Struthio camelus: one gene and its partners. The protein of the gene in region 4 purifies or fractionates together with the protein of the main gene of each other region. This does not show direct contact. Links are inferred from orthologs where the notes say so. Each region holds a gene or a part of one and is shown on either strand. Other genes may lie near its edges.

The links.
Region 1: the proteins of EZH2 (region 4) and PHF19 purify together in Homo sapiens (affinity purification with mass spectrometry; 10 studies listed by BioGRID and IntAct, counting the BioPlex papers as one, with this or other methods). This does not show direct contact. The link is inferred for Struthio camelus from reciprocal best matches to the Homo sapiens genes EZH2 and PHF19.
Region 2: the proteins of EZH2 (region 4) and SMARCA5 purify together in Homo sapiens (affinity purification with mass spectrometry, with the first as the bait; 3 studies listed by BioGRID). This does not show direct contact. The link is inferred for Struthio camelus from reciprocal best matches to the Homo sapiens genes EZH2 and SMARCA5.
Region 3: the proteins of EZH2 (region 4) and MTF2 purify together in Homo sapiens (affinity purification with mass spectrometry; 10 studies listed by BioGRID and IntAct, with this or other methods). This does not show direct contact. The link is inferred for Struthio camelus from reciprocal best matches to the Homo sapiens genes EZH2 and MTF2.

The regions. Positions count from the first base shown.
Region 1 is NC_090961.1:3,054,564-3,062,197, reverse strand, and holds the start of PHF19 (PHD finger protein 19), read right to left. Parts: upstream 3,011-7,634; 5' UTR 2,967-3,010; coding exon 2,951-2,966; intron 1,326-2,950; exon of another isoform or gene 1,275-1,325; intron 80-1,274; coding exon 1-79.
Region 2 is NC_090945.1:34,085,260-34,092,247, forward strand, and holds the start of SMARCA5 (SWI/SNF-related matrix-associated actin-dependent regulator of chromatin subfamily A member 5), read left to right. Parts: upstream 1-3,986; 5' UTR 3,987-4,009; coding exon 4,010-4,168; intron 4,169-6,395; coding exon 6,396-6,470; intron 6,471-6,988. UniProt on the Homo sapiens protein: ATPase that possesses intrinsic ATP-dependent nucleosome-remodeling activity.
Region 3 is NC_090949.1:18,605,106-18,612,438, reverse strand, and holds the start of MTF2 (metal-response element-binding transcription factor 2), read left to right. Parts: upstream 1-4,333; 5' UTR 4,334-4,602; coding exon 4,603-4,607; intron 4,608-7,333. UniProt on the Homo sapiens protein: Polycomb group (PcG) protein that specifically binds histone H3 trimethylated at 'Lys-36' (H3K36me3) and recruits the PRC2 complex, thus enhancing PRC2 H3K27me3 methylation activity.
Region 4 is NC_090943.1:62,688,316-62,695,914, forward strand, and holds the start of EZH2 (histone-lysine N-methyltransferase EZH2), read right to left. Parts: upstream 3,020-7,599; 5' UTR 3,005-3,019; coding exon 3,000-3,004; intron 1-2,999. UniProt on the Homo sapiens protein: Polycomb group (PcG) protein. Catalytic subunit of the PRC2/EED-EZH2 complex, which methylates 'Lys-9' (H3K9me) and 'Lys-27' (H3K27me) of histone H3, leading to transcriptional repression of the affected target gene.

The DNA of each region.
Region 1 (7,634 bases), on a different chromosome or scaffold from region 4:
GGCTGGACGTGGCTGGCAGCCGCGTAGACATCCCGGATGATGGGGTTCAGCTTGCTGCTCTCCATGAGCCTCGGCAGCCCTGGGAGGGGAGCACGCGCTCGTCACCCGCCGCCACCGCCGCTGCCCTGCGTCCCGCGGGGTTCGGCCGGGGTGTAACGAGCCCGTTGTTCGCCCGAGCTGCCCACCGGGCGCCGCGCAGGCTGCGTGCTTGGGGGTCCAGAGCTTTAAATCTGATGTTAAATTTCATGCATAATTTCCATGCAATTTCCCCGAAGGGCACGAGAGCCCCGTCGGGGCAGGGAAGCGGGAGCGCTCCAAACAGCGCGTGAAACGGAGCAGCCGAGTTTCGCTGCCGCAAAGGCTTGAAGCGCGAGAGGCAAACAAACCGCCCTCCCTCGACAGCGCCCCGGCCGCAGCTCGCCTCGGGACCGCCGGCAAACGCGACAGAACAACCCAAAAGTTACTTTCCCCCCCGCCGAGGAGCGTCCCTCTGATGGCGACACGCACGACTTCATGCCACGCATCGCAACACGGGACCGCACGGCGTCTCGAGCAGGACGAGCTGCCTGCGGCCGGAGCGCGCGATTAACAACCTTCACCTTCCCCGGGGATGACCTGGCCGCTTTTAAGAAGCCCACCCGTTAAACGGACCGCGCACCAGGCCGGCAGGCAAAACAAAAAAAGGGGGAAAAAAGAAAGAAGGGGGGGGGAAGGGGGGGATGCTCAGCGGAGCTGGCGGGAGCGGCTCGGCCAGCCGCGCCTCGGCCAACGCTTCTCCCGGCGCCGGCAGAGCCTGCGGCCGCCCAGGCGGGCTCGGCGCACGCCGCGGGCGCCTCCGGCGGGGCAGGCGGCGGCGGCGCGCAGGGCGCCGCGGGGCATCGCCGCCGGCCCGGTTCGGCTCGGCTCGGCTCGGTTCGGCCCGGCCCGGTTCGGCTCGGCTCAGCCCGGCCCGGTTCGGCTCGGTTCGGCTCAGCCCGGCCCGGTTCGGTTCGGCTCAGCCTGGCCCGGCCCGGTTCGGTTCGGCCCGGCGCACACGGCACCGCGCTCCGGTGCTTTCGGGCAGTGCCCGGCGCCGGCGGCACCTGCCGGGCGGCCGCCCCGGGGCAGCGCCGCCGCCGCCGCCGCCATTGGCTCATTCAAAGGCGCCGCCGCGGCGCCGTCCCGGGAACCGCGCGCCGCCCCGCGCCGCCCCGGCGGGCTGCGGCTCCGCGGGAAGCGCGGGCAGCGGCCGCCCCCGCCCCGCCGCCGCCGCCGCCGCCGCCGCCGCCCCTTACCGCCCGCCGCCGCCGCGCTCTCCCCGCGCCGCCGCCGCCGCCGCCGCCGCCGCCGCGCCGGGCCGGGTCAGGGCCCGCCCGCCCGGGGGCCGCCGGGGCCGCGGCGCGGCGGGGGCAGGGCGCGGGGCGCCATCTTCCCGCGCTTCCCGGGCCGCCCCCGTCCCGCTCGGGCAGCGAGCGCCGCCGCCGCCCCCGGCCGCCCCGCGCCGCCCCCGGCCGCCGCCGCCCCGCGCCGCTCGGTGTGCTGCACCCGGCTCGGCCCGGCCCGCGCGCGCTCACACACACACTCGCGCTCGCACGCATGGTAGCTGGGGGCGGGCGGGATCTGCGGCTGCCCCGCGTGGGGCCCCGGCAGCTGCCTCCCCCCCCCCAGCCCGCGCGTGGGGTGTCTGCAAACTGCCCCATGCACGGTATCTGCAAACCGCCCCGCGTGGGGCACCTGCAAACTGCCCTCGTGGGGTGTCTGCAACTGCCCCCCCTGGGGGTCGTCCCCAAAACTGCCCCGCGTGGGGTGTCTGCAACCGCCTCCCCTGCGGGTTGTCCCCAAGACTGCCCCGCGTGGGGTGTCTGCAACCGCCTCCCCTGGGGGTTGTCCCCAAGACTGCCCCGCGTGGGGTGTCTGCAACCGCCTCCCCTGGGGGTTGTCCCCAAGACTGCCCCGCGTGGGGTGTCTGCAATGGGCCCCCCGGGCGTCATCCCAAAGACTGCCCCGCGTGGGGTATTTGCAACCATCCCCCCTGCGGGTCACCCCACCAGCTGCCCCGCGCAGGGTGTCTGCAACCGTCCCCCGTGGGGTACCCACAGCTGCCCCCCGGGGTACGCTCCGCTCCGGGGCACCTGCGAGGGCCCCGCACCCCCCGCGGCTGGCAGGGCCCTGGCATGCGGCACCCCGGCTCCCGCGCGGGCAGCAAGTGGCGTCGCTGGGGGCTCCCGGGGCCGGGGCGACCCGCTGTGCCGCGCCGTGCCGTGCTGCACCGTGCTGCACTGCGCCGTGCCGTGCCGAGCCGTGCCGAGCCGTGCCATGCCGAGCCGTGCTGCACCGCACCGTGCCGTGCTGTGCCATGCTGAGCCGTGCTGCACCGCGCCATGCCATGCCGTGCTGCACCGTGCTGTGCTACACCGTGCTGCACCGCGCCATGCCATGCCGTGCTGCACCGTGCTGTGCTACACCGTGCTGCACCGCGCCATGCCATGCCGTGCTGCACCGCGCTGTGCTGTGCTACACCGTGCTGCACCGCGCCATGCCGTGCCGTGCTGAGCCGTGCTGCACCGCGCCATGCTGAGCCGTGCTGCACCGTGCCATGCTGCGCCGTGCCGTGCTGTGCCATGCCGGGCTGTGCTGCACCGCGCCGTGCCATGCCGTGCCATGCCAAGCCGTGCTGCACCACGCCATGCCGTGCTGCACCGTGCCGTGCTGCACCGCGCCGTGCCGTGCTGCACTGTGCCATGCCGTGCTGTGCCATGCCGAGCTGTGCTGCACCGCACCGAGCCGTGTTGCACCGTGCCGTGCCGTGCCATGCCGAGCCGTGCTGCACTGCGCCGAGCCGTGCTGCACCGTGCCGAGCCGTGCTGCACCAGGCCGTGCCGCGCCATGCCAGGCCGAGCCGTGCTGCACCGCGCCGTGCCGTGCCGCGCCGTGCCAGGCCGAGCCATGCTGCGCCGCGCGCGGGAACAACCTGTGCTCCTCGGCATTCCTAGAAACGGGGGGATTTTTCTCTGAATCTCAACAGAGAGAATCAATCACTGCAAAAATGCTCTGCTCAGTGCCAAGGAGAAGTCTGAAGGATTTGCTATTTGTTCGAAAGCGCTGCCAAAACAGAAATGTTTGCAGGCCTGCTCAGCCGGCGGGCCGGCTGACTGCCGGTGGCGGGCCGGCGCCGGGCGCGCTCGCGGTCTGTCGGCGCTTTATCGGCTGTGGTCGATGAGCCCGGCGGCAGGACCGTGCCGCCTCGGCCCCCGGACCGGCTGCTCCCTAGCTCACCTGTGAAAGAGCGGGCGCTGCCAGCGAGCGTTAAAAATGAATGGCGCAGGGGTAAAAATGCCTTTTACATGTTTCTGTATGATTCTGCCGTCTCCGAATCCCTTTGTGTCACCGCAGCGGCCCCGCAGGCTGCGGCTCTCCCCGGCAGCCGCCCCCGGGGCCGGCGGCGGCGCTGCGCGCGGCTCCCTGCAGCCTTTTGCACGTTACGGATCGTTTCGGACACGCTAACAACTACTTTCCAAAAGTAAAACAGCAAAGCTACGCTGTCTCAAAACTAAATATCCTGCCAGCAGCATCGCAGGCCACAAAATATCCTGGCAGAGAGCGGTATCGAAGAAGGGGGCGAGACGAAGCGCAAGGCTCTCAGCGGTCAATCACACGTGAAAGGCAGCGGGTGTGAAAGCTCCCGGCTCCGAGATGCGGCGCGTGAGCAGGGCGCGCGGACGCCGCCACGCACCACCTGAAACCCGGCGTCCCGTTTTGCAAGCCGTGGGCAGCTGCCGCGCTCCTGCCCTGCTGAGGGCCCGGGGACGCCGTCAGCAAGCCGTCCGTCCGCTGCCCTGGCAGCCTGGCGAGCAGGCGCGGAGTGACCGAGGGCGCTCGGCTTGCCGAAACGCTGATCGTTTCCCGCCGCTCGCCCGAGCGCGAGGAACAGGGCTTCCCGGAGCCGGGGGCACGAAGGCTGTTTTTCTCCCTTGCTTCTCGTTTCTCTCTGTGTATGAAGCTAAAGCCCCCAGGCTGTGCTGTGCCGTGCTGTGCCCTGCCGTGCCGTGCTGTGCCATGCTGTGCTGTGCCCTGCCGTGCCGTGCTGTGCCATGCCGTGCTGTGCTGTGCCATGCTGTGCCGTGCCGTGCTGTGCCGTGCTGTGCCATGACCTGCCGTGCCGTGCTGTGCCGTGCTGTGCCGTGCTGTGCTGTGCCATGCTGTGCCGTGCCGTGCCGTGCTGTGCCGTGCTGTGCCATGCTGTGCCATGCCCTGCTGTGCTGTGCCCTGCCGTGCTGTGCTGTGCCATGCTGTGCCGTGCTGTGCCGTGCTGTGCCCTGCCGTGCTGTGCCATGACCTGCCGTGCCATGCTGTGCTGTGCCCTGCCATGTCATGCTGTGCCGTGCTGTGCCATGCTGTGCTGTGCCATGCTGTGCCATGCTGTGCCGTGCTGTGCCGTGCTGTGCTGTGCCATGCTGTGCCGTGCTGTGCCATGACCTGCCGTGCCATGCTGTGCTGTGCCCTGCCATGCCATGCTGTGCCGTGCTGTGCCGTGCTGTGCCATGCTGTGCTGTGCCATGCTGTGCCGTGCTGTGCCGTGCTGTGCCGTGCTGTGCTGTGCCATGACCTGCCGTGCCATGCTGTGCCGTGCTGTGCCATGCCCTGCTGTGCTGTGCCCTGCCGTGCCATGCTGTGTCATGCCGTGCCGTGCTGTGCCATGACCTGCCGTGCCATGCTGTGCCGTGCCGTGCCGTGCTGTGCCGAGCTGTGCCCTGCCGTGCTGTGCCATGACCTGCCGTGCCATGCTGTGCTGTGCCCTGCCATGCCATGCTGTGCCGTGCTGTGCCGTGCTGTGCCGTTCCATGCCGTGCTGTTCCCTGCCATGCCATGCTGTTTCCTGCTGTGCCGTGCCCTGCCGTGCCGTGCCGTGGCGTGCCCTGCCGTGCTATTCCGTGCTGTTCCCTGCCCTGCTGTGCTGTGCCCTGCCATGCCATGCCGTGCTGTGCTGTGCTGTTCCCTGCCATGCCCTGCTGTGCCGTGCCATGCCGTGCCGTGCTGTGCTGTGCTGTGCTGTGCCATGCCGTACAATGCTATGCTGTGCCATGCCCTGCCGCATTATGTATGCCGTGCCATGCTGTGCTGTGCCCTGCCGTGCCATGCTGTTCTGTGCTGTTATGTATGCTGTGCCATACTGTGCTGTGCCGTGCCCTGCCGTGCCGTGTTGTGTGCTGTGCCGTGCCGTGCCATGCCGTGCCGTGCTGTGCCGTGCCGTGCTGTGTGTATTGTGCCATGCTGTGCTGGGCCCAGCCATGCCCTGCCGTGTTACGTGTGCCGTGCTGTGCCGTGCCGTGCCGTGCCGTGCCGTGCCGTGCTGTGCGTGCCGTGCCATGCCGTGTGTGCTGTGCTGTGCCGTGCTGGACCCAGCCATGCCCTGCCGTGTTACGTGTGTCGTGCCGTGCCAGCCGCACCCAGGGGCCGCATCCTGCTGCCCGCCTGCCGGGAGCGGGCGCCCGAGCAGGCCCACCCCGAGAGCACGCAGCGCCGGGGCAGGCGCGCCGGGCGCAGGTCGCGGGCAGAGGTTTGCCCGGCGGGCTGGGGGGTGCAGAACGCCGCTCATTCCCTCGGCATGAAACACTCGTCCTCCGGGTTCACGGGGAACCTGACGCATCTTCAAAACACTCAAACGGCCAAAATTTGCGGTGAGTCATGATATGTGAGTCACAGCAGGACTAAAATAACTCTTGCACCATCGTTCGCCTGGTGGACAGAGACGGCCGCTGGCTCTGCGGCGTTTCCCTGCGCTAGTCCGGACCAAAAGCAACTTACTCATGGCTCCCGCGCTCGCTCGGCGCTGCGGCGCCGGGTCCGGCTCGGGCCGGCGGGGACGCCCCAGGCCGCGCGCGCCCGGGGCTCTGGGGCGCCTTCGGCCTCCCCAGCTAGAAGGAGCCCTGGGCGGCCCCGGCGCCCTCCGGAGCTGCAGGAGATGCTGCCCGGCTCCAGGCGCTGCGAGGGCTGAGCCGGCGCCGGCCCCGCTGCCCCGGCAGCCCCACGGCGGTGGCTCCCGTGCAGCGGTGGCTCCGGCGCAGCGGTGGCTCTGGCACAGCAGTGGCTCCGGTGCAGTAGTGGCTCCGGCGCAGCGGTGGCTCCGGTGCAGCGGTGGCTCCGGTGCAGTGGTGGCTCTGGCGCAGCAGTGGCTCTGGTGTGGCGGTGGCTCCCGTGCAGCGGTGGCTCCGGCGCAGCGGTGGCTCCGGCATGGCGGTGGCTCTGGTGCAGCAGTGGCTCTGGCACGGTGGTGGCTCCGGTGCAGCGGTGGCTCCCGTGCAGCGGTGGCTCCGATGCAGCAGTGGCTCCCGTGCAGCGGTGGCTCCCGTGCAGCGGTGGCTCCGGCGCGGCGGTGGCTCCCGTGCAGCGATGGCTCTGGCACGGTGGTGGCTCCGGCGCGGCAGTGGCTCTGGCACAGTGGTGGCTCCGGTGCAGCGGTGGCTCCGGCGTGGCGGTGGCTCCCGTGCAGCGGTGGCTCTGGCACAGCGGTGGCTCCGGCGCGGCGGTGGCTCTGGCACGGTGGTGGCTCCCGTGCAGCGGTGGCTCTGGCGCGGCGGTGGCTCCCGTGCAGCGGTGGCTCCGGCGGGCTGCGCCGATGGCCAGCCCGCGGCTCGGCTCACTCCCGCACCTTGCAGAGCGGCTCGCTACCGCCGTTTCCACCATAGTTTTTCCTCTGCTGAACAAGGGTTTAGAAGCCTCATGCCTTCTCTGGGTTTTTTCAGCCGGGTTAAGCTGATTCAGGAAAAGCTGGATGATCTTTCCCCACTGACCTTTCCATGGTTATTTATTTAGACCGTCCCAGCTACATAAGCGCCGTTATTCTCTGCTCACCTAGCCATTAACCGTGGAGCAAACAGCCCCGGTTTAGCGCTCTAGGACTCTCCTCGACGTTTCTGCACCGTTCGATTTGGCCCCGAGGAAGCAAAATTCATTGCAGATGTTACTTTCCGCAGCAGAAGTCGCTCGCTGGATTAGTCAAACCTTGCTGTCGCTGCGATTTCAGCGCGGCGGGCGGCGAGGGGGCTCCGGCGGCGGCGGCGGCGGCGGCGTGGCACCGCCGCGGGCCGGGGCAGCGCTCCGAGCACGGCCATGCCCCCGAGGGCGCCCCGGAGCGGAGGTATGGTTGCGGTCACAGCTGGGGTAGTTAAATCCGACGCTCATCTGCTTTATGCCAGCTGTGCCTTTAAAAGGAAGAGCGTTCAGGCATTGGATTTCATGTCTTTTTGCTGTTTGTTTAATATGAATTTAATCCACATCCATTTCTTTTTCAACCTAACTTTCTTTGCGTGCTTCTGTGCAATTGCGTAAGACATGAAGAGCTTGTAAGCGGTCCCGCAGCTGTGCAAGGTTTGTATTAATGTGGCCGTTACATAATTTTGACACCGATACGTTATGTACACGTCTGCAGTTCCCGAGCAAGGCTCAGAAAAGCCATTTCCAACGAGGAAAAAAGAAAAGCCCCTTTTGTACCTGGGGAAAAAGTCACTCGAGGATGTTTGGGCTCCTTACCCGGGTGTAGCCCTCCAGTAAGCCAATGCCCACCACTGTCATCGTAAGTCCGTGCGGGCGAGGAGGAAGCGGCCAGGTCTGGCGGGTGGGGAAGGGGCGCTCGCCGCTCTGCTCTCTGCCCAGCG
Region 2 (6,988 bases), on a different chromosome or scaffold from region 4:
TGTCTGATCTTTTAACCACAAACAGTTTAATTTCATTCCTTTCATTTTCCAAACTCCTGGCAGATTTGCAGTGGTGATAGATGTGCAGCAGTGCCTATTAATGTAATTGCTGTACAGCTAATAGTGTCTTTTAGAGTAGCTCTTATTTGCGGTGTTTTAATTCAATTTGTTATTTAACCGGAAGTCATCTAAAGTATATTAGTAGAAAAAGTTATGGTTACACAAGCAAGCAACAAAAGGCGTGTCACCTTAGAGATTTGACAAAAATCTGTAATTAAACTGTTCTTTACTAACTTCATAAGCATGTTAATAATTAGTTGTCTTTACAATTCAGATTTCCGTACTGGCTGGGGGAGGATTTGTATGTGTTACTGTGCGTTTGTCCGTACCTTGGTGTTTAGCAGATTAGTAACCTCTGTCAGGAGCTGCTTTGCGCTACTAGCTGCTTTTAAATTAAGGTCTTTGTAGTCAGGCTGCGTGTTCAGACTCTTAGGGTTTTATGCATTCCTGAGTATCATCTTCCTGTTAATTTGGAAGTCTTCCTCTTCTTTTCTTCTTGATCAGTTTTTCCATCCTACTTTTAAAACTTTGGAACTTTTAGTCTTCCTTTCTACTTTTGACAAGAGTTTTTTTTTTTTTTTAATTATGCCTACCCTCCATACTTGTAAGTCTAATGGTTTTCTTCGTTTTCACCTCTAGTTGAGCCTTTTCCTTTGAGTGTGGCAGAGATTTTGATAGCTTTCTGCTGTTTTACAGCATGGTTCTGTTCACTTGGAGATAAACAGCTTCCGATTAAAATCTCTGATTGAAGAGTTCACTCCTTGTGAGACTGCACTCTTGCAGTGGTATAGGGTCCACTGTAACTTCAAGTAAGTAACATTTAATAATGAAATTATGGATGGAATAGAGCTAGAGTTGGGAATTTTGTTGAGAAGTGAATGGTCTATTTAGAAGCCTTTGGGTCTGTAAAAAGTACTTGGTATCTCATTCGGGGATAACTCATTAAGGTTATCCAAAAATACTACTACAGTGTTGCAGGTTGTATGCAGCTGCAAGACTGATTTCCCCCTCCTTCCCCCCAAGCTCTGATGTAGAGACAACAATCATTAAGGTTTCGTGTTTCTATTATGGAACTCAGGTTTTGGCTCGGAATATTTTTGTGACAATTTTTTTTACCTTTTGTGACTGAAATATTTGGGATTGGTACTCTCTTTCAAGTTAACTTCTTTAAAATTTGAACAAAAATTATTCTCTCTTGATGATAGCAAAGGCAGAGCTTCTCAGAAGTCGGGGAAATGAAAAAGCTAAAACAGTAACCAGGAAGGGAAGAGAAGCAATTTTTGGCTGGAGACAAACACCATTTTCATCTTTCATGATACTGATACTGGGCACATGAGTATCTCAGCGCTCCTCCCTGACCAAGGGTTGATGACCTCTGGATGGAGGTGGTATTTTCTCTTTTCGTCTTGCTAAGCTTTCTCTCTCATGTTCTCCACCTGAACAGTATGATCTTACCTGGAAGTTTTAGCCTGATTATAAAAAGAAGGTGTTGAAGGTGGTGGAACAACTCCCCTTGAATGCCTGACCCCTTCCTCAGCCTTTTATGCCACTTTTCTTTCGAATGTAAAGTCCATCAGTGATTCTCCACCTGTAGTTTTGTTTGCGTGCTTTGCGGGGGAGAGGAATAAGTGCTAAACGGGGAAGGTGGAGTATAGCTTGCTTCCCACCCTTACCTACTGGCCACACCATGCAGATCGTACTGCATCATCAGAAGCAACTGCAGAGGAGGCGAGAGGGCAGAAGCTGAGGCTGGGCAGATTAAAACTGGACATAAGCCTAGGATAACTTTATGCTGACATACTACAGGGGACTAAATGAATACTTACTATAATGTGGTACTGCATATATTTAAAACTTAAGGTATGGGTGGAGATGCAAGAAGAAACGCTGTGTCTCTGAAAGCAGAGAAGAGCCTTAGGCAAAGGAACTGGGTTTTTCACCTGTCATGAGGGATGACAACAAGCAGTGGGGAAACATGTCAGTAACATTTTTATTAGCTGAAAATTTCTGTTCTAGGAAAACTGAAATTCATTATTCTGAGTAGTTTTGGCAGAAATGAAATGACACAATGTTTCAGAAATGCGAGAGCAAACTATTTTAATTCCAAAAATTTCAAAGGATGTTGGTAATAAAATCCAGTGAAATGTTACAATAATCATAGCAGAGAGCACCTCCTTTTAGGTTGTTAATGCAGACATATCTGCAAATGCAACTGATTGACAGGAGCAGATTTGTAGAGCAAATCGTTGATGTGGGGCACCCAGTGTTCCCACTGTATGCGGTTTGGGGAACTTTTGCTTTAGACCAGCTCTAGTCTGGTCCTTTGGCCTCAGCCTCTGTTAGCAGTGGGAATGCAATAGGGGTGCTGTGGAAACTCATCTTCCTGTTCTGCTTCATCCCCAAATATTCCCATTTTGTGCACTCCAGGCTGCTTCCGAGATGTGAACTCGGGTCAGTGGTTCATGGCACGGTAAGAGGTGGGCACGATGGGATTTGCTTCAAAGGGGCGCTCCTCTTCTGAACTGAATGCGAGCGTAGATGCCCCTAGGGAGTCCCGGTCTGAAGCAGGGTGCTGTAGCTTGGGGTGGCTCCAAGACGGGAGCAGACAGTACGTTGGGTCTCAGGAAAGATGCTACAAGCTTTGTCTGGTTCAAGGAGCCAGAAAAAGAGGGAAGGTGACTTTAGTGCAGTGGTGTTTGCTCTAGCACCCGCTTCTGTGAATATTCATGTCTTTTTACTTGAAACAGAACATCTCCCGCAGGAGGGGGTCAGTGTGACGGACCTGAAAAGAGCACCGTTTGATGTGAGACCTGCTCTTTCGGAGCACTGGCGTCTTGCTTGCATTTTCTTTTGGAACATGTCATGGTGATACTGTTATATTTTAAGGAGCCTTCACGACCTCGCCGAGGGTAGGTGGTGTTTGCCAACGTTAATTCAAGCAACAGCCAACGGCCTTCTTGCAACGTGCCCCAAGCCGTAGAGAGGAGAAGCTAGGCTGTAACTCCAGCAACGCAGCAGGAGGATGTATGATCTCTAATACAATTTCCAAGCGCTTTGGAAGTAACATCACGATTTTTATTGATTTCTTTTAATTACAAGCCACCACGGGTAAAAGCAGCAGCAGCAGCAGCAGCGCAGCAGGGCGGCTGTGGTGCTCCTCAGCCCGGGCGCTGGGGAGAGCCCAGGAGCACACGCAGCTCGCTCTCTCTTCTCTCCTCAGCTCCCTTTTACTCCCTTTTCCGAGCGCGGCCCTGGCTCCCGCCTTGTCCCCTGCGGCAACGCTGGGGGCGCGGTGGGAGGTTGAACGGTTTGGGGACGCTGTAGGTTTCGTTTCCGGTGGGAAATGTATCGTGGACTAGTCATGAGAAAGTTTAGAGCTGCCTTCCCGCCCTCCGGTACCGGGGTACCAGGGCGGCGGACACCGCTCCGGCAGCGCTACCCCGTGCCGGGCCGGGGGCGAACAACCAACCGCCCGCCCGCCCGTTACCGGCTCATGACGTCAGGCCGCGCGGGGACCTTCCTCACCCCCCCCCCTTCCGCCCACGGAGGAGAACAAGGCGGCAGTGACGCCACAGGGCGCCCGCCCCACCCACCCGCCATCTAATCACCCAATCAGCAGCGCGCCCGGGGTGGTGGTGGCGGGGGGGAGAGGGAAGCCGGCGCTCGCGGAGCGCGCACGCGCGCGTCGCTCCTCCTCCGCCGCGCGCCCCACGCTGGCGGCGCGGCTCTCGCGAGAGCGGGGAGCCGGCTCGGTTCCTGGTTGGTGGGCGCCCGCCGAGCGAGCCGGCGGCAGCGCTGACGGGCCTCGGCCGCCGCCGCGCACCGGGCCCCGCGCGCGCCCCCGCCGCCCCCCCCCCCCCGCGCGCCCCGCGCCGGCCTCAGGCGGCCGCGCCGCCGCCCGCCTCCCTCGTGCGCAGCTCCCGGCGGAGCTTTGTCTGCGGGCGGGATCATGTCCGCCGGGCAGCAGCAGCAGCAGCAGCAGGGGCCGCCGCCGCCACCGGGCGAGCCACCCGCCCCGCCGCCGCCGCTGCCGCCGCCCCCGGCGGGCGCCAACAGCAGCGAGGCCGCGGCGGCAGCTCCGGCGGCCGGGGCCGACGCCGAGATGGAGGTCAGGCGCTTTCGGCCGGCGGGGGGACCCCGGCGACGCGGGGAGGGGTGGGGGGGGCGGCAGGTGCCCGCCACGAGGCCGGCGGCGGCGGCGGCGGACAATGGGGCGGCGGCGCGGCCGTTACTCGCTTCGGGAAGCGCGGTGGGCGGCGGGGCGACCTCCCCGGGCGGCCTGCGGCCCCCCGGCGAGCAGCCCTTGTGCTGCTCTGCCTCCTCGGCCCTGCGCTGCCGCGCCGGGAGGAGCGAGCCCGTTACTGCCCTGAAAAAGCACCGGTGTTTTCCGCGCTCGGCCGTAGCTCCGGACTTTGCGTGCGCGGGGCGGGGGTTTGCTTGGAATAAGTAAATAGCTTTACTCATTTGTTTCTCTGCTTTTTTTTTTTTTGGCGGCAGGTGGTTATTCCAGAAATTTCAAGGGGTTTTGAGTGTGATCGCCTGGAGATGCTAATTTTATCGCAGCATTGTTCCTTTAACGATGTGAGGAAACTGGTTGGTCCAGCTCTTAGTGCTGGGTGTTTTGTACTCTGAGTCATGCTGTACAGTCCAACCTACCTCATTTAAAGCAGTTTGCTAATGCTTTTTTTTTTTTTTTTTGGTTCAGATGAGCAAGGAACTAAAGCACTATGGGTAAAAAGTCCTGCTTGAACCTGTAAAAATAAGGCAATTTCAGGCTAGGCTTCGTGCGTGGAAGCTGTGAAATGCACGCTTTTGATGCTTTCGTGTGAGGGTTCTTCCTGTATTTGCAGAGTTAATCCCCCTTTTACCTGAGGAAGGGGTTGCCGTGCATAAACTGAAGTTTCAGTTTAAATGGCTTCTTGGTAGCCCTAATCAGCTAAGAGGTTGTTTTTCTCACTGTTCAGCTAAATTGGAAGTTTTTGTTGTCTTTATAGCACATGAAGAGTTCAGATGGCTTGTTACTGCTATTCATGTGTTTTTACAGTATTTCAAGTGTTTGGTGTTTCAGGAGAAACATGAATTTTGTAGAGGAGTTCAAACAGTTCGGTCCTTCTTGTGCTCAGTGTAAGACGAGTATTAGATAAACGCGTCGGGAGATGAGTGAGAAAATTTCTGGAAGATCTTTAGCCATAATTTTTTACGTTGAGTTCTTTATCTTTTGACTGGCACACGAGACGTTTGTGTGGAGGTTCTTGTGTTTTCACATGCCTTACCTGCTAGAGTTTCCGGAGGTGACACCCCTCCATGAGCAGCCCATGTTTTGCTTCCCTTTGTTTCAAGTTGTTTGCTTGTTCTGATCAGCTAGCAAAGGTTGCATTTAGCTGAATTGTCAGTTTGCTCAAATAAACAGATGTCTAATAATAATTTGGTGGGCATCTCATTCGTTTCCTCTTTTCACCCTTTCAAGAAGTATTTTGTAAAGCACTGTCTTGCCGTGGTTGAGTGGTGAGGTTGTCCCATTGTTTTTGCTGCTAAGAACAGGAGAAGGTGAAATTAAACGTGGGAGATGATGGAGAAAGAGTTAACTTTAAAAAAAAAAAAAAAAAAAGAGGAGAGAAGGACAAAAAAAAATCCTGACCCGAATGGGTAGTTGAAGGTGCTGTGCTACAGAGTGGGCAGGAAAGGGGATGAGGAAGGACTGCCAAAAAACAAACCCTAAAACTTGTTTTTCTGCTATCAGTAATACTGTTGGTGGTAACAGTAATACTGTTGGTGGTAACAACAGTTACTTGATTTAGTAAACAAGAGAGGGAAGAAAGTACAGCTTCTTTAACATGCTGCCCTGCTTCCAGGACAAAACTGTAATTCAAACTCTTTGTGTAGAGTTGTTCACCGGGTACAGAGTGATGTAGGATTGGGGTAATCTGGAAAGAAACTTGAAACTGCTGTTGCTTCAGGAGCAGAGCTAGTTCTTTCACAGTACTTTCTAGAGGCAGCTTCAGGAGGGCTTTGTCTCAGCACCCTGGAAGTGGCCTGCTGAGCTCCTGGACCACAGCTGGCTCTCTTGTTTCCATTCATGTGATGCTACAATGATGGGGCTGAGTTGGATTATAGAGAGCTAGCTCTGTCCCCCCTTCTGCGGTAGGGATCACTGATGCATGGCCTAGTTAATTTTACAGCATATAATAGAAACGTGATTATACCAAAGAAACAGAAGGTGGATGTGCTCTCCGATGTGTATAGGTAGCAATTTGTAATGAGCTTATTCGCCTTTATGTGAGTATCTTGTAAGCATTGTTAGAAAATAAGTTGTTTCTAATTCTTTTTCCCCTCAGGAATCTTTCGATGATGCATCACCAGGAAAACAAAAAGAAATCCCAGAAGCAGATCCTACATATGAAGAGAAAATGGTATGTAACGTTTGGGAATGCGTACATCTATCCAGCACTTAACGCAGTTGCTTAAAACATAGAGTTCAGCTCTTTTGAAATCTGTTAATTGGATTTATAGGTCTTTGTCTAGTCTTTCAAAAAACATTTAAGTAATTTGAAACCAAAACAGTTAAAATAGAAAATCTCTTTTCCTTTTTAGTGTTTTGTTCTCTGTTCTTCTGTTGCTTCTCTACTTCCGTTGCAGTGATACGTTGATATAACTGGTGATGTGTTTTGTTGGTTCTAGTAAGTGTGGACCTAGGAGTTTTGCAGCGCTCTAGATTTAGGAAGAATGGGATAATGGGAAGTATTCAGACATCCTCGGGGAAAAAAACATAATAGGAATTGTGCTGTCGCTTTTGGAGTTGTCTGTAGAGTAAGTCCTTCCTGGGGGTAAGGAGGATTATGAAGAGCTGAATATTCACTCTCTTGGTCGGAAATCGAAAGATCATCTAGAAAAGGGTCTGTCCTAACTGGCTACTACCTTACTTTCTTAA
Region 3 (7,333 bases), on a different chromosome or scaffold from region 4:
GGAAGCTTTAAGCTTCAGCTTCTTTTAAGCATTTTTTCAAGCATCTTAAGTATATAAAGTGCTTTTACTAGAAAAAAAAATGTTTCTCTGTGAAGACCAATGGCAATGTGGTCAGCATCCAGTAGCACTAATGTATTTTCTTCTGTAATGTTGATATACAAGAATGCAAAATCTTACCTATCTAGAAAAATATTTTAAGATATCTATTTTGTTCTGTTTTCACAAATATTTTTATATCCTTAGGATAGAGCGAGAATAATTACTGCAATTTTATGATAACAATTGTTATCTGGTTATAAGGCAATTAATACTAATTTCTTCATATCTTATAACAGCACTCACCTATTTTTTATATTTTGAAATTGAAGATCCTTTTCTGAGTCCTAGAATAATAAATACAGCATAAGTGCACTGTCTCACTAATTATTATGTTTACGTAAAAGTAGATGTACCATATTCAACTTGATTGAACATAGGAAGATCTCAGGTGAGCTTCCTTGCTGTTCCCATGCTCAAACAATACTGAGAAAGTGGCCTGGGATCTAATTTTCCCTCCTTACTGAATTGTGGTCATGACAACCATCTGTACAAGGATAAGCTTTACAGTATTGTCTTGTTCGAGGTTATCATTTTGACGTTACATTGGGTGATACAATAAGGCAATGGAAAATAATACTCTACAGCAGTTGGTGCTCTCATCTACATACACTGTTGACTTAAGTGTATGGGTTTTCTGTTTTGATTTGCTTACTTTTATTATTTGTTTATAGAATTCTTGCTAAGAAAGTGTATAAACATAACACCTGCTTTAAAACGATATACTAACATTTGAGAGAAGGGCTGTTGGCTAAGGGACATGCCACTATTTCTGAGTCTGTATTTAAACATTATTTAAATTTATCCAGCTTTACTGGTTACAGAAAATTTACATTTTGAACATGAAATTTAAATTGTCTCTCTTGTGCCAGCAAGGCAAGATACAATTTCAAAAAGTAAAGACTTTGCTATTATTCATCTTTGTGGCAAAAATGTACCAAACAATATGTGGACAAAAATAAACACTAAGGGAGAGACGTGTCAGGTCAGTATTCTTTAACCCCCTTTGAAAACAGAGCTATTTGTGAAAGGAGGTGGAAGAAAGCTGAACGTATTTATTATTATGCAGAACCTTATAATCAAAGTCTTTTTTTTTTCCTGGAACTCCTACACAAGAGAGCTCTTACCGACATTTGAGGAGAAGTAATTTAATTTGGCCTTGGCCATGCTGTGACAAAAAGTATATATGTAATACGTCTGGAATTGAAAACACAATAGCAGAGAGTGCTTAAACTGTATGTGCAAATACTTTCAAGGCATTATCAAAAGGCAAAAAAGAAAACAAAACAGGAAAGTCCATTCTAAAGTCATCATATATAGTCTTATTGGATCTTAACAGAAGAAATAACTAGTTGCTTTACTACTAGTGCTGAGCAGAAAGCAGACGAAGATTCTAGTTTGCTCAAAATCAGGTTAATGATACATGTCTCTCGATAATTGGAATTGTATAGAGTGTCTAAAGTAGGCTGACTTTTACTTTTGCTGTTCCTTCTTTGCCCCACATATGCCAGTGATAATCAGGATCCTTTCTGCTGCAACTATAGGTTTCAGCATTTGCTGATTTAAGCATTTCAATTTGAAAACCATTTATAAAAGAATCATTTGCACATTTGCAATAAGATTCCCAACCCTGTAATTACCTCATCAGGTTGGGCAAAAGAACTATAAAAGTGACTGTTCCAGTGCATATTTACTCTCCAAGAGTAGAAGTAGCTGAATTTAGTCATCTATGTTTAGGTATTTCTCAAACATTTGATTTACTTGGTCTAGTAAACGCATCAGGTGAATAAGACTTGCATGGTGATGGCTCTAGAAAGGAGCTTCCTGTAGGATGGTGATTCAGTGACCTGCTAAACTGTGTAAAAACTAGTTACTAAATTACTGTGATGGAAGAGGGGGTGTCTGTGTGAGGTGCATAGGTTGGAATTTTTCCAGCTATCAGTAAGAGCCGACCTTAAAAGGAAAGAGAGGTTAACATGGCTTTATTTAGGATTTGGCTGGGAGCCCATACTGTGCTTCACAGAAATTCTGAGAGAAAAATATTATATGGAATCAAATTTGTGGGGATAATATTGATATGGTCTGTTGTTTATAGTAATAAAGCTAATAGTAACAAGCTTTGGGAGCAAAGTTCTGGACTAACTAGTTCAATCCCCCTAATAGAAAACTAATCAGTGTATCAAACTTTAATCATCCTTATTTACTGTGGGGATTCTTAGTTTCTTTTAGCGCTGCCCTCAGATAAAGGTAATGCTATTCCAGCAGCAACTCCTAGCTCTGTGACAAGTGGTGTTTTATGTTTAGGGTGTGGCCATGCAGCTCTGTGCCTTTATGCTAGTTATGAAAACGGTTTCAGGGAACAATATTCCAAGGAAAAGGAGGGTAGAGCTACATGTGTCTTTCTGATCAAGGAGGTTTTTTATTTTTTTTTAAGGGGGTGCTGGTGGCGAGCTAAACAATTTACACCGGGAGATCGCACTCTGAGAAGTTCTGATTTAAGCAATTTCAAAAAGACAGCAGAAACAGGTTGGTAAGACCCTCCAAGGGGGACTGTAAAAAAGTAAGTTGTGAGGGAGCCAATTATTGATGTTTAGTCATGTTCATCCTATGGCTGATAAAAAAAAATCTTACTTTTTAACTGGTTTAACACTGGTTCTCACCTACTATTATCAGTATAACTAAAAGTTAAATACTTGCACGTGTGTTTTTCTCAGCTTGAGTAAGTGCAACTTTTTTTCTCACGCCGGTGACCCCTTGCCTTTAGTACTAGTGGTACCTAACTGCTGCTAGCAGTATCTCAAAATACGTGAAGAGCAGGCCATGGCAATTGTGCTGTGCAAGCCTGTTCTTCACAGATCTAGAGGCCATCATGATCATGGGCCGAGCAGTGGCTAGTTAGTACATCCAAAGGGAATTTTAGGGAATTATTCCCTAAAACCTGTATTTTAAACAATTGCCATCATGAAGAGATTCAGGTTTTACTGTTTTACTTTGACACCCCTCAGAGTCGGCCAGATTAAGGTGTAAAAATGACAGCTCTTTCAGACTCATCTGCTTTAAACATCACTCTCTTTGGTCCTCTTTTGGGTGACAAGCTGCCTCCACGTCCTGCTGTCCTCAGGACCATGCGCACCCAGGGATTACCCTCCTGGGGACCACTGACCCAGGGAGGCTGGCAAGCTACTGTACTGCACCCCTGGAGACGTCAGGGGGCCAAAGGGAGTCAGAGAGGGTCTGCAAACAGATCCAGTGTCGTTTCCAATGGCTGATCTTTCTGTGGAAGCTCAGCCAACACGTTAAGGCAGAGTGAACAGGCCAGACTGCCCGTGCGAGATCCCATCTAGTAAATACTTGCATTTCCACTACTGCTTAGAGGTCTGAACTGTGCCAAGGAACTGCCCCTATGGGACTGGGGCAAACTTTCTATTGTGTGTCACTGTACAACTGCTGCATTTAATCAGAGCTGCTGCTGAGGCTGCGCTAAGCCTAAGGAACTCTTCATAAAAACAAGCTGCTGGTGATGATGAAAACTGAAAAGCCTATTCCAGTTCGCTAACACAGCTGCTGCTAGAAAGAGAAACTAAACTTTAGCTCAGCTCCTAAAATGGCAGTTATCTCGAAGACTGCGACTGCAGAGGAGCTTCTCCTTCAGACTGTCTACCCTCACGCCCTTGGTGTGAGCAGGCCCCCCCCCCGAGCAGCCCCTGCTACCTGGGCCGGGGAGGACACCGCGGGCGCCTGGCTGCCCTCTGGGGCGCGACGCCGGCTGCCCCGGCCGGCCAGGGCCCTTCCCGCCCTCCCTGGATCATTCTAGACGCGCGGGCCGACCCCGCCGCGGCGGGGCGCCGAGGGGACGGGCCGGCTCCCGCCTCACGGCCCGCAGCCCAGGTGGGCGGCGGGGGCAGGTAGAGCGGTGCGGGCGGGCAGGCAGGCTGCGCGGGTCCCCGCGGGACTGCGCCGCGCCGCGCCGCCGGCACCTCGCCGCCTCGCCACAGGTGCGACGAGGGAACAATAGGCGGAGGCTGGCGGGGCGGCGCGCACCCCTCTGCGCTGCCGTAACGAGTCCCGGCCGCGGGCAGGGATATTCCCCCCCCTTTAGCGAGCACGCCTAAAGTAGTCCCTCTTTGTTCACCAGCGGGCAAGGTTCGGCTTCACCTGTGTCCTTCCGCCGCAGCGCGGCTGCCGCCCCGCCCCCTGGCCGGGGAGCTGCCTGTCGGCGCAGGCGGGGCCCGGCCGGGGCGGGGCCGCGGCTCTTTGTGCTCCCACAATGCACCAGCTTCTCCTCCGCGGGAAACAAAAATGGCGAGGGGCTGCGGTGGAGCCGGGCTGTCTGTGAAGCGGGTCTGACCCCTCCCCCGCCGCCGTCCCCTCGCCTCGCCGCGGGGTCCGTGCTCGGGGGGGTCCCGCTGCGCACCGAGGGCCCGGCCGCGCCGGGGCGCCGGGGGGAGGGCTCCTGAGCTGGCTGATTTCCCTGTATGAGGCGGTTGGCACCACCGGAGAGACCGAATGAGGTGGGGTGCGGGGGGCGGGCGGGCCCCGCGGCGGGGGGGAGGGCGTGGGGGGCGGCGTCGCCGGGCCCCGCGCGGGGCGGGGGAGGTGCGGGGCAGGGGGGCGCCCCTCAGCTGCGGCCCCCCGGGCCGCATCCTGCCGCCGGCACGGGGGTCGGGCCGCCGGCGGGGAGGGGTGCGAGGGGCCCCGCTCCTGCGCGGGGGCCCCGGAGGCCGGGGCGGGGGGAGAGGGGGCGGGAGCTGCCTCTGCGGCGGCCGGTGGCAGGCGAGCGAGGGGCCGGTGGTGCTCCTCCGTGACCAAAACAAAGGGAGCGAAGGCAGGAGACCTTGTAACGGGGGCCTCGGGGGTGTTGCAGCCGGGCGGTTGCCGCTGGGTTTACCCCAGCTGGGTTTTTTGTGTGTCTTGCTTAAGGACTTTGGCCGAATGGGCTGCATTTGCTCAAGTGTAAAAGAGCAACACAAAAGAGGTGGTGGTGGCTGCTGGTAACTTTGCTTTTTCTTCTGTGATGCCTCTTCTTTTAGTCTCTGTCAAACTAGCGCGATTCAAATGTGCTGAAAACTTGCGGTTTTAGTCTACCGAAATGTGGGAACTGTTGCTGGCTGAAAGGATGTGCAACAACATATTTTCTTATCTGTGATGCTTGAATTTTGTGGAAAAACTGGGTTGGTACTTTTGTTAGTGGGAACAATATGCTACTGTGTGAGACAGTCTGGACACTGATATCGAGTGTTGGAATATTAGGGATTGTCATCCACCTCAGAAGCATTTGGGTGCTATTAAAAGGAAAGGGCCTGCCAGGAATGCAGTGTAACCTTATGCTTATTTCTTGAATTTCTGATGGTTTGGCTCTGTTCAGGACATTAGGTAATACATAGTAATGGATAATAGCATGATCTTCTTCTGACCTACGGTGTAGGTCATTCATACCTTATACCGAAACTGTCAAGCACAGAATAATGAAAAAATGGCTTCACTGATTTTTGTGGTTTATAGTCAGGTTGGTAAAAAGCTAATAAGCTGATGTTTGTCCCTCCTTGGAGAGCTCAAATTGCAGTTAATTGGAAAGCCTTTGAGGCTGAGAGGAGAATAGGTGTTGTAATATTAGAATACAGGTTAATATGTTTAATTTTTTTCACTTTCAGTGAAAAGAGACTAAGGGGGCACAAAGACTAAGAATATGAAAGAAGGGACGTAATAAAGTAGTGAAAGAGTTAGAAGGATCTTTGTGGGGAGCCACAAGCTAGTGAGATGTGCATCTAAACTTAGAGAGTAAAATGTAGTAATGCTTTCCACAGTTATCTTTATCTGGGAAAATAGTTATGTGACTTCTCAACAAGTTCTTATCTCTGCTCGGTGAAGAATGCTGAATTTGATGTCAGTTGTCTGAAAAGTTGGCTTAATATGTTTGTTTACCAATTGCTTAGATATATAACTTAAAAACAGTTGAAGGTTGCACTCCCAGTCAATATCAAGACTAGCCTCAGATACAGTTACGTTTGTTCTTCCATGCATTAGGAGATCAGGCAGAGTGTATGAGAACAGCTGTAACAAATAAGTTGCAGTGCATTTGCTAGGAATGGGCTGGTAAAGGGTGGCCTTCCATATAACCTGGAGATAGATGAGGATGAAGCTAGTACTAGAAGCATCATAAATTGCTGTAAAGTGTGTTTTATACTTCTAATGTTAGTTGTGGAAGAGAAAGTTTGGAGGGGAAAAACATCTGTAAGTGAAAGCCAGTATAAATCTTTCTCTTCTCTTAGTTTGTGAGTTGACAGCACTTTTTGCATGACTGACCTCTGAGCTTGCTGCAGAGTTGGTTTCACCTTCTTTACAGGCCTTCCTTGCAGGAAATGGAGGGGAAGTGTGTCTTTGAGTAAAACAAACCAGGAGAAGAATGGTAAAACGATGGGTATTGCTGATGGGTCCCTGGGCAGGGTGATACTTGTCGCTGAAAGTACTGAAACTAGTTGAATTAACTTGTTGAAGGATCCCGATTTCAATCTGACAGGCTTTTCCTAGAAGATGGGAACTCTGTTAAGCAGGGAAATTGAAAAGCTTGACTTTCCCTTTCTTTAAGAGAAGGGGAATTCATGATGACAGCATTCCTGATGAACCTGGACACACTTCATTCACTAAATATTTCAGAGGACAATAACACTTCATCCTTTTAAAAAATAAATCAATTTCTATGTATTTCTTTCACTGGAGCGTTTGTAAAGGTCGCTGTTCCTGTAGAATGGCCTTAAAGGAGGAAATATGTCCTCATGGTTTTTGACTGCTTGTGGAATTTTTCCCCTTCTCTCCTCTCTCCCCAGTGCAAGTCAGAATGTGCTCTGTGATCTCATTTACTGCTTGGACGCACGCTCATACTGTACTCTTTTAGGTATGTTGCTGGGCACGCTGTATTTGGATACTGTGGAAACCAGAAAGTCAATAGCTGGGTTAAAGGAGATGCTAAGTATACGTTTAAGGAAAGATCTGATTAAAAGCGAGGTGTGTTGCATCGGCATACCATACCCTTAGTCTCTCCTTGATACTACCTACTTCCTCTTCTTTGTGTATAAACACATGATCAATCCCAAGTCATTCTACAAATGGCTATTACAATAAAGTACTACCTTGCCCTATTTCCCTACATGCTACAATACATAGGGTAATACATTGTTATGTAATTATTTGTTAAAGACTGTTTTAATTCTATTTGATGTGCAAAAGAAAAAAAAAAAAA
Region 4 (7,599 bases):
AAATCCTTCATTTAAAGTTTTCAGCACTAACAGCTAGTTGATTCAACATAAAGTACCTGAAAAAGATCCAACAACAAAAATGTATGAAAAACTAAACTTATTTCAGATTTTCTACCAGTTGAAGAAGAGGGCAGCAGCCTGAGCACTGCCTCTAACTTTATTTAATTTACCTCATTTTTACAGGAGAGTTTCCTTTAGAATATTTATTAGTCAGAAAACAATGATAAGGCTACTTCTCACAGTTTCATTTTCTTTAATAAAGATAAAAACAAATAAGAAGTTAGGTTAGTTAATAGCAAACTAAAATTTCAATAGAAATAATTAGGTTTCCAATACATATCTTTCAACCAATACAGCAACTGGACAAAAAACTAATGCAGTACATATTTTTGTCAGACAGCTGGCAAAAGGAAAAGATAAATCTTTACTAGAGTGCTGAATCACTTTGCGTATGCAAATCTGTAACTTTTCAAGGTATTTTTCCCTTCAAAAATAAAGATCTTTTTCTATATCCTTGCAGTTTTAGGACTTAGAAAAACAAAAATCAGATACAACATGTAATTACTAAATACCTCGTAAGGAATTATCATTTGAATGATAAAACTTCTTAATTCCCACCATTATTCTCTTCCAGAACATTTCAACATTTGCTATTTTTAGAAAAACACTGTTTTAGAAATACAAATGATACGTTTAACTGTTTGTCCACTTCGGGGTGACAGGGAACAGATGGGTAGATGACAACTGCATTATTCAATATTAAACATCAAACCAAAACAGGCACTAACTAATGTACTGAAATCTCACTTCAGTTTGAGTGACATCAGCAAAATACTATGCAGCAGGTAGTGTAACCATTTATTTTTACCTGGATATTTGCACGTAAAAATAGCTTTAACTATATTTACAGGTATGAGTAAGACTATTGGATCAAAAATAAATAAAACATTTTAAAAAACCAAACATCAGAACAGCAACAAAAAGTTTGAAGCTTGATTTTGATACGTCCTTTGCAAGTCACAATTAATCATGAATTTCCACATCCCTTACACAAGACCAAGCCTGATTATTTGTCAGGAGAAAGTAAAGATTTAGCCATACAGCTTACATTTTAAATTCATACGTTCAAATTTCTCTTTTCACACTCATTAATAGAATGCCATAGGATACATTTTGTCTAATTTATTTGAAAAGATACAACTCCCACACAAATTCCAAACAACCTCTGTTGCCTAACAGCTCCATCCCCTAAAATTTAAGGACTTTTTGATATCCTTGATAAACCTGGCAGAAAGAGTGCTGGGAGCACTTACAGCATGCCTACACAGGCAAAATAATTTAGGGTGTGAATTTAAAGTGCAGTGGCAATTCTACCCTAACTTGTTTTTATGGACACACCTATTTTACTCTAAAACAGCCAAAGGTTCTTTAGCTCAATCCACACAGAAACAAAAACCCCACACTCCACACGGAAAAAGTAAACAACAAAAAAAAAACCCTGCCACGCAACAATTGCTTTTCCATACTTATTTCCTTGCACAGGGAAAAATCCCAAATTTTGAAAGATATTACACTTCCATGTATGCAGAAACCTCATACACAATTTATTGCAAAACAGTCTGAAAAAATTTTGGAGCTTAACAGGTGTTTGGTAGATTTGCCAATGATCTGAAAAAGTCAGCAATGAGCTTCTAATGATGAAAGCAACCAAATTAGTTATTCAGTCAATGCTCATTTTAAAGCTCTCAGAATAACTGAGTCTAATGCACAGCATCCATATCTCCCTAAAAAGTATATGAGGATTAACCCAACAGCACATTGCTCTTTCCTTACAAGAAGTATTTTTTTCTTTACAAGCTGTATTTAATCTAAAGAGGCTACTTTTCCAGAAGCTTGATTTAAAGGGGAAAATTAATGAGAAACTGTTAATCTTAAAAAAAGAAAAATCATCTAGTGAAAAAACTCTGCTCCCTTAGGCTATGGAAGAGAACTATGGATAGTTCCAAGGCTTTGGGAAAAAATTATGCCTCCCAATTTCAAGGCAGCATTTGAACACCAGTGGTGGTTACATAAACCATTTTACTTTCAAGTGTAAAACAGCTTCTGTCAATTTCCTCTTCCAAGAGTTGAACAGTAGATTTAACTTTGCAGTAAACACATTAGTAATACCCACTAGAAATACAGCACAAACTGGTGGATGCATAGCTGGAAGAAGTTATCGTGAAGGATAGATTTTAAGCTGTGCCCAATTACAAACTGTATCATAAAAATCAGAGAAAGCATAACCTTAAGATTTTAATCCATCTGATATAGTTTAGTTATGCCTGCAAGTCAGGTATCTGCAACACGTCTGCCTGATTTCTTACAGAAAAAAGTAATCCAAGTCCCAGCCCTAATTTTTTCTTAATCTTACTAATAAAAATGAGATCGGACATCTACACACTGGAAATATAAAGCTTGCCAGGTCCACTTGTGCTAAGAAACGTGGAAAGGAAACTAGCTAGCATTAAAAAAAAAAAAAAAGAAAAAAAGTATGAGTAGTTAAGATTTGAGTTTCCTTCCTTTCAAATAATTTTTTTCTTTAAATTACATCAGATGGCTTTGGGATTTAAATTGAACATGCAGACTGTGAAACAGAGAATGCATGGTACGGAAAAGCTGAACCAACCACGTAAAAGAAAAATGAGAGAAGGAGTCAGATGCAACACAAACTGACAAGGGAAACAGGCCTGGCTCTAGATTTAAAGAGAGGGGGGGAAAAAAGGACAAACATTGCATACAGTCCTGAAAAGACTTTTTTTTTTCCAGCCCAGGCTGTGGACTGTAACTTTTACTACTTTGCTTGCATAATTACACACACAACATTAGTTAAACAAGCACCATATTTATATATATATATATATAAAAGTAGCAAATTCTGAAATACTTCTACAATTGCATATTAATAAAGTCATTAGTTGCATTCAGAAAGATGGCAGTACATTCTCTGTCACTTTTACCTCATTTGTTAACGAAATCATATACATCCAAAGTAGGTGCTTTGACAGTACTACTATGTGACATTTTCAAGCAGTTGACAGCACTGCACTGATCCAGTCACATCATTACATTATTTTTCATCTGCAGCCTTTAGAATATGCACCATATCTGACTAGATTTCCAAGTGGTCTTGAGCCAGAGACTTCCCACCTTAAAAGCACTACCATTAGAAAGGAAGCACAGTACACATTATAAATTTTTACAAGACAGTGTTATTCACAAATTGAGCAGAGATGCAATTACTTAAACATCCTATACGCACACTTTAGCTGGGCAACCAAAACATTCCCAAAAATTAGAGTTTGACTTTTTTTTTTTAAGTATATTTTTCCTGGACATAGGAAGAACATCTAACAGACATCATCTTCTCTGAAAATATATATATTTTTTACAATAATCTATTTACAAATCTATGGCTAAATAATTCTTATGTTTTTCAGAATTCCTTTATCTTCCACCTTTTTTTAAAAGGAGCTTAATTTGGCTATATTATATGCAAGTGATACTCTTACTCATCACTCAGATACTTCAGAGTAACCCCTACCCAAGTTTACTAATGTTACTTTATTTTTTTAATCCAAAACACATATTCCAATTGTAACACTGGGTTAGTTTTTCAGTTTCACCAAGTACTCAGAACTCAAGTCCACAGTTTGACAGATCTTAGTGGAGATCTAGGTGTACAACCAGAACAAGTCTTTAACAATCAAAATATCTCCTGTTATCAGTTACAGAAAACAGCATTGCCACTACTGTCTTAAAGGAAAACAACTGCACAGTTTTTTGCTTGGACCTTGGTAGACCCTACTCTCCCTCCACCCCCACCTCAACAAATTTCAGTCTTTAGTTTCACCTTATCTGTGAGCAGTGACACACTGAGTCATTCTAAAGTCTTCAAGTGATTTCCATGAGGACAGGTAGAACATCTGCTTAATAATTCTAAACACTGTTTTCCTTTTAATCTTTAGCTTAGCAAAACTCTTGGGTATATACTTAGAGCTAAAAAAACAAACCCAAGCACGTTAACTTGGAACCAGCATCTTTGTTGTTCCCCTGCAAAATGCCTCTCCCTGTTCTGCATCCTTTTCATATAAGGTTTTTCTTCTTCTCATCTTTCCTCCTCCAGACATATCCCCTTACCTGAAGTTATCATTTGAACTACATCAGCATTGGAGTAACTTTGTCGATTTAAAAACTAATTTGGTTATTCTAGAACATCTGTACAAGTTACACATAGATACTAAACGCCACTTCAATTAGACATCATTTCAATGAGCCTGGCACCACTCCACAGAGTTTTCTGACAGGATGAACAGAAGGTTGGTAGCAAAATTACCATTAAAATAATCCTCCTAGTACTGTCTTACAGCTAGCTTCTTTTTACTTTGGTCCTGCTTCCAAAGGTAGGTGCTATTCAAGCACCTAATGTAACCCTTAAGAATTACATTCATAGTATGCAGACTACACCCATTCCTTTCACATTTTTAAAATCTGGTAAACTGTATTTTGCTTAGACAGGTAACTCTAACAATGACCTACCTGACTCAGCGAACTTTCAAATTTTCCTTGCTTAGCAAAGGCCAAGCAAGGAAAATCCAAGCAAAGGCAAATCTTGTTCCTGAGATTTCCAGCATCTCTGTTGGGGACAATTTTATTCCTCCTAAAATTTCACAGATGCTTCTGCTCGACTCAGTTACACTGCATCTATAAATGCTAACTACAGATACCACACAACATTCATATTATAGCCTCCACTAAAGTTTCCCACAGTGCTTTCACTTGAGTACAATACAAAGCAAACATTTATTAGATATGCCTTGTCAGTATTGTTGCCATTTTTAAAATTAAAACCTTCTCTGTTCAGTCATATGGCATTTAAAATTGTCATCCAATTCTAACTTTAAAATTGAGAATTTATTAAAATGTATACAAGATATATGCAGCTAAAGAAGTAGAATCTTCTTGTAAATGTAAACATTTCTTGTAAAAATAACAGAGTTTTTTGACTAATTACAAAAGGAATTTTTTAAGGCACCAACTTTTCTGGGAACATTTTTGGAGCGCACTAGACGCTAGATGTAGTTTATTCTGACGTAAGCTGCTTTACAAAAAGTGACGTTTAGCCTGCACTCACAACATATGCAGTTGGTGCCTTTGCTAACGCACTAGCAAAGTTCTCCTCTCTCTAAGCCAAAGTCTCTTTGCAGATAAGCAGAAGTGCATGATCATACTTACATTGCACCTTTGAATGCTGCAATGTTATAGAACAAACATAATTCTATTCTGGCATGCAATCTTCAACAAAATCACTAACCATATTTCAGCTTGGTGGCAATTCTAGCAAAAGGGAAAAAATCCAGCTTGAATTTCAAGTCTCTGGCCTAAGTTTACACACCATCACTTTAGTTCATTGTAAATTCAGCAAACATGTTTTATGACCTTTTGACAATACGAATTTTCAGTGTCTATCACTTTTGAGGATCAAGTTGCATATTAAAAAAAACAACTGCCCTGTGTTTTTTCCAAATTTTGTCCTAAATTAGAATCTTGAATTGTTTTAAAATTTCAGAACAAAATAGCTGTCATCACCTCATGGAACATTTTACTGTCACAGTTCTCCCCATGTGCCGTTTAACTTTTAATTTCCTTCTTCACGTAAATGAAGGAAAAAATGTATTTTTCTCTCTTTTTTTTTAAACTCTGGAACAAGAAATATAACCCTTTTGATGTAAGAAGCTTAAAAGAAACCAAGTAGCAAAGCATTAGATCTTGAAGTTAAAGACACTCAAGACACCACACAAAACTTTCTAGCCATATCTCCTAAAACACTGGAAGCATGCTTTCTGAAGGTCTCTACCGGCCTTAAACATTCACATTTTAAGGGGCTAAACTGAGAGTAGTTATTGTACACTGGGCTGAAATAATACTCACCCTCCTGAAGATGCTTTATTGTTACTGCAAATAACATTACCTGGACTCTCAATCTGATATAGACAGTGAGGACAAACATCGAATGACCTTTTAATTTTTACAAATCACATCAAGAATCTGAACGGGCCAATCCCTTAAAAAAAACAAAGAAACAAACAAAAAAACCCACACTATCTACAAGGTAATCCTAAGAAGTGAAACCTGCACTGGGAAAACTCTTCACTGAAATATATATTCGGTAAGAATCAAACTCATAATAGTTGGAACTACAGTTGCTAGACTTACACAAGGTTGTTCAATTGTTACAAGATAGATTCGTCCTTGTGTAAAACTGTTGTACAGTTTTCTTAAAGAGACCAAGGATCTAAACTTCCAACTTCCTAGTTAAACTCTTCTCTAGCTCCAATAAGGATAGTGTTTCATAACTTAGAGAAAGTACTTCAAGCAAAGTACCAGTTAATTATTCTATTCCCACTGCACATATCCACCGACTGCTTTTCTTTCGGTGCTACTAATAATTTTTCAATCACCACGAATACCTGTTAATGTCAAATACATAAGCCAGGTGCCACAATGCACCGATTTCTTCATCTTCACCTAACCACACATTTTTTGCAGAGGGGCAGCTCTGTCCAGTACCCTCCTTCACACCTTCCCAAACACCCTGGTTTCTGAAAGCGCTCTGTACACCCGTGCTTGACAGCCTTAGAGCTAAAAATCGCAATTTCCAGCTCCCCACAAACTTTCTTGCAGCGCTCTGGAAAACAAGAGCCAAACGGTGCCCTTCGCCGTTAGGAAGTTCACTCGAGTTGCCGGTCTGGCAGGTTCCCCCCCGCCCCTTAAATAGTTTTTCTTCCTGAACTAAGAATTTTCAAAGGCAAAGGGGGGGGGGGGGGAAGGGGGAGGAAGAAAGGAAACACCTATGGGGAAAAGAGTGCCCAAACAAGCACAAGTTTATAGGACGAGTGCGCGGAGATGCACAAGCCGGAGGGCGCCGGGCTCGGCTCGCCGGGCAGCAGCTTCCGGGAGACGAGGAGCCCACGCGGCTGAAGCGGACCTGTCCCAACCCCTCGGCGGGGACGGCGGGAGGCAGGCAGGGAGGGAGGAATACTCCGCTCGCCCACCTCTCTCGGGGGAGGAGTGGGGGGGGGGGGCGCGGATTTCTCCGCGGGTGTCAATCAGCCGCTCTGAAGCCTTGCTGGACACGCTGAAAAATCCACGCATCCTTCAACAACACTGCGCCCAACGCCGCCAGGCAAGCAGCCGGCTCTGCTCCACGCCGCCTCTCCCGCGCAGCGCGGCGCCTCGGGCCGCCCCCCGCCCGCCCCCCCTCCCGCCGCCGCCGCCGCCCCCCGGGCCGCCTCTCGCCGACCTGCGGCCGGGCTGCGCGGAGCCAACTTAGACAAAGGGCACTTACAGACTCCATGCCGCTCCCCTCCAGCTGTCACCGGCCGGCGCGCTCGCCACCCCACGCCGGCCACCGGCTCCCCCCCCCGCGCCCCGTCCCGGCCCGCCCCGCGGAGGCTGCCCGGCGGCAGCCACCGCCCCCCCCCAACCCCCCTCCCCGCCGCCCGCTCCCTCCTCCCCTCCCCCCATTACAAAGGGAGCCGGTTATAAATAGCCGCTCCC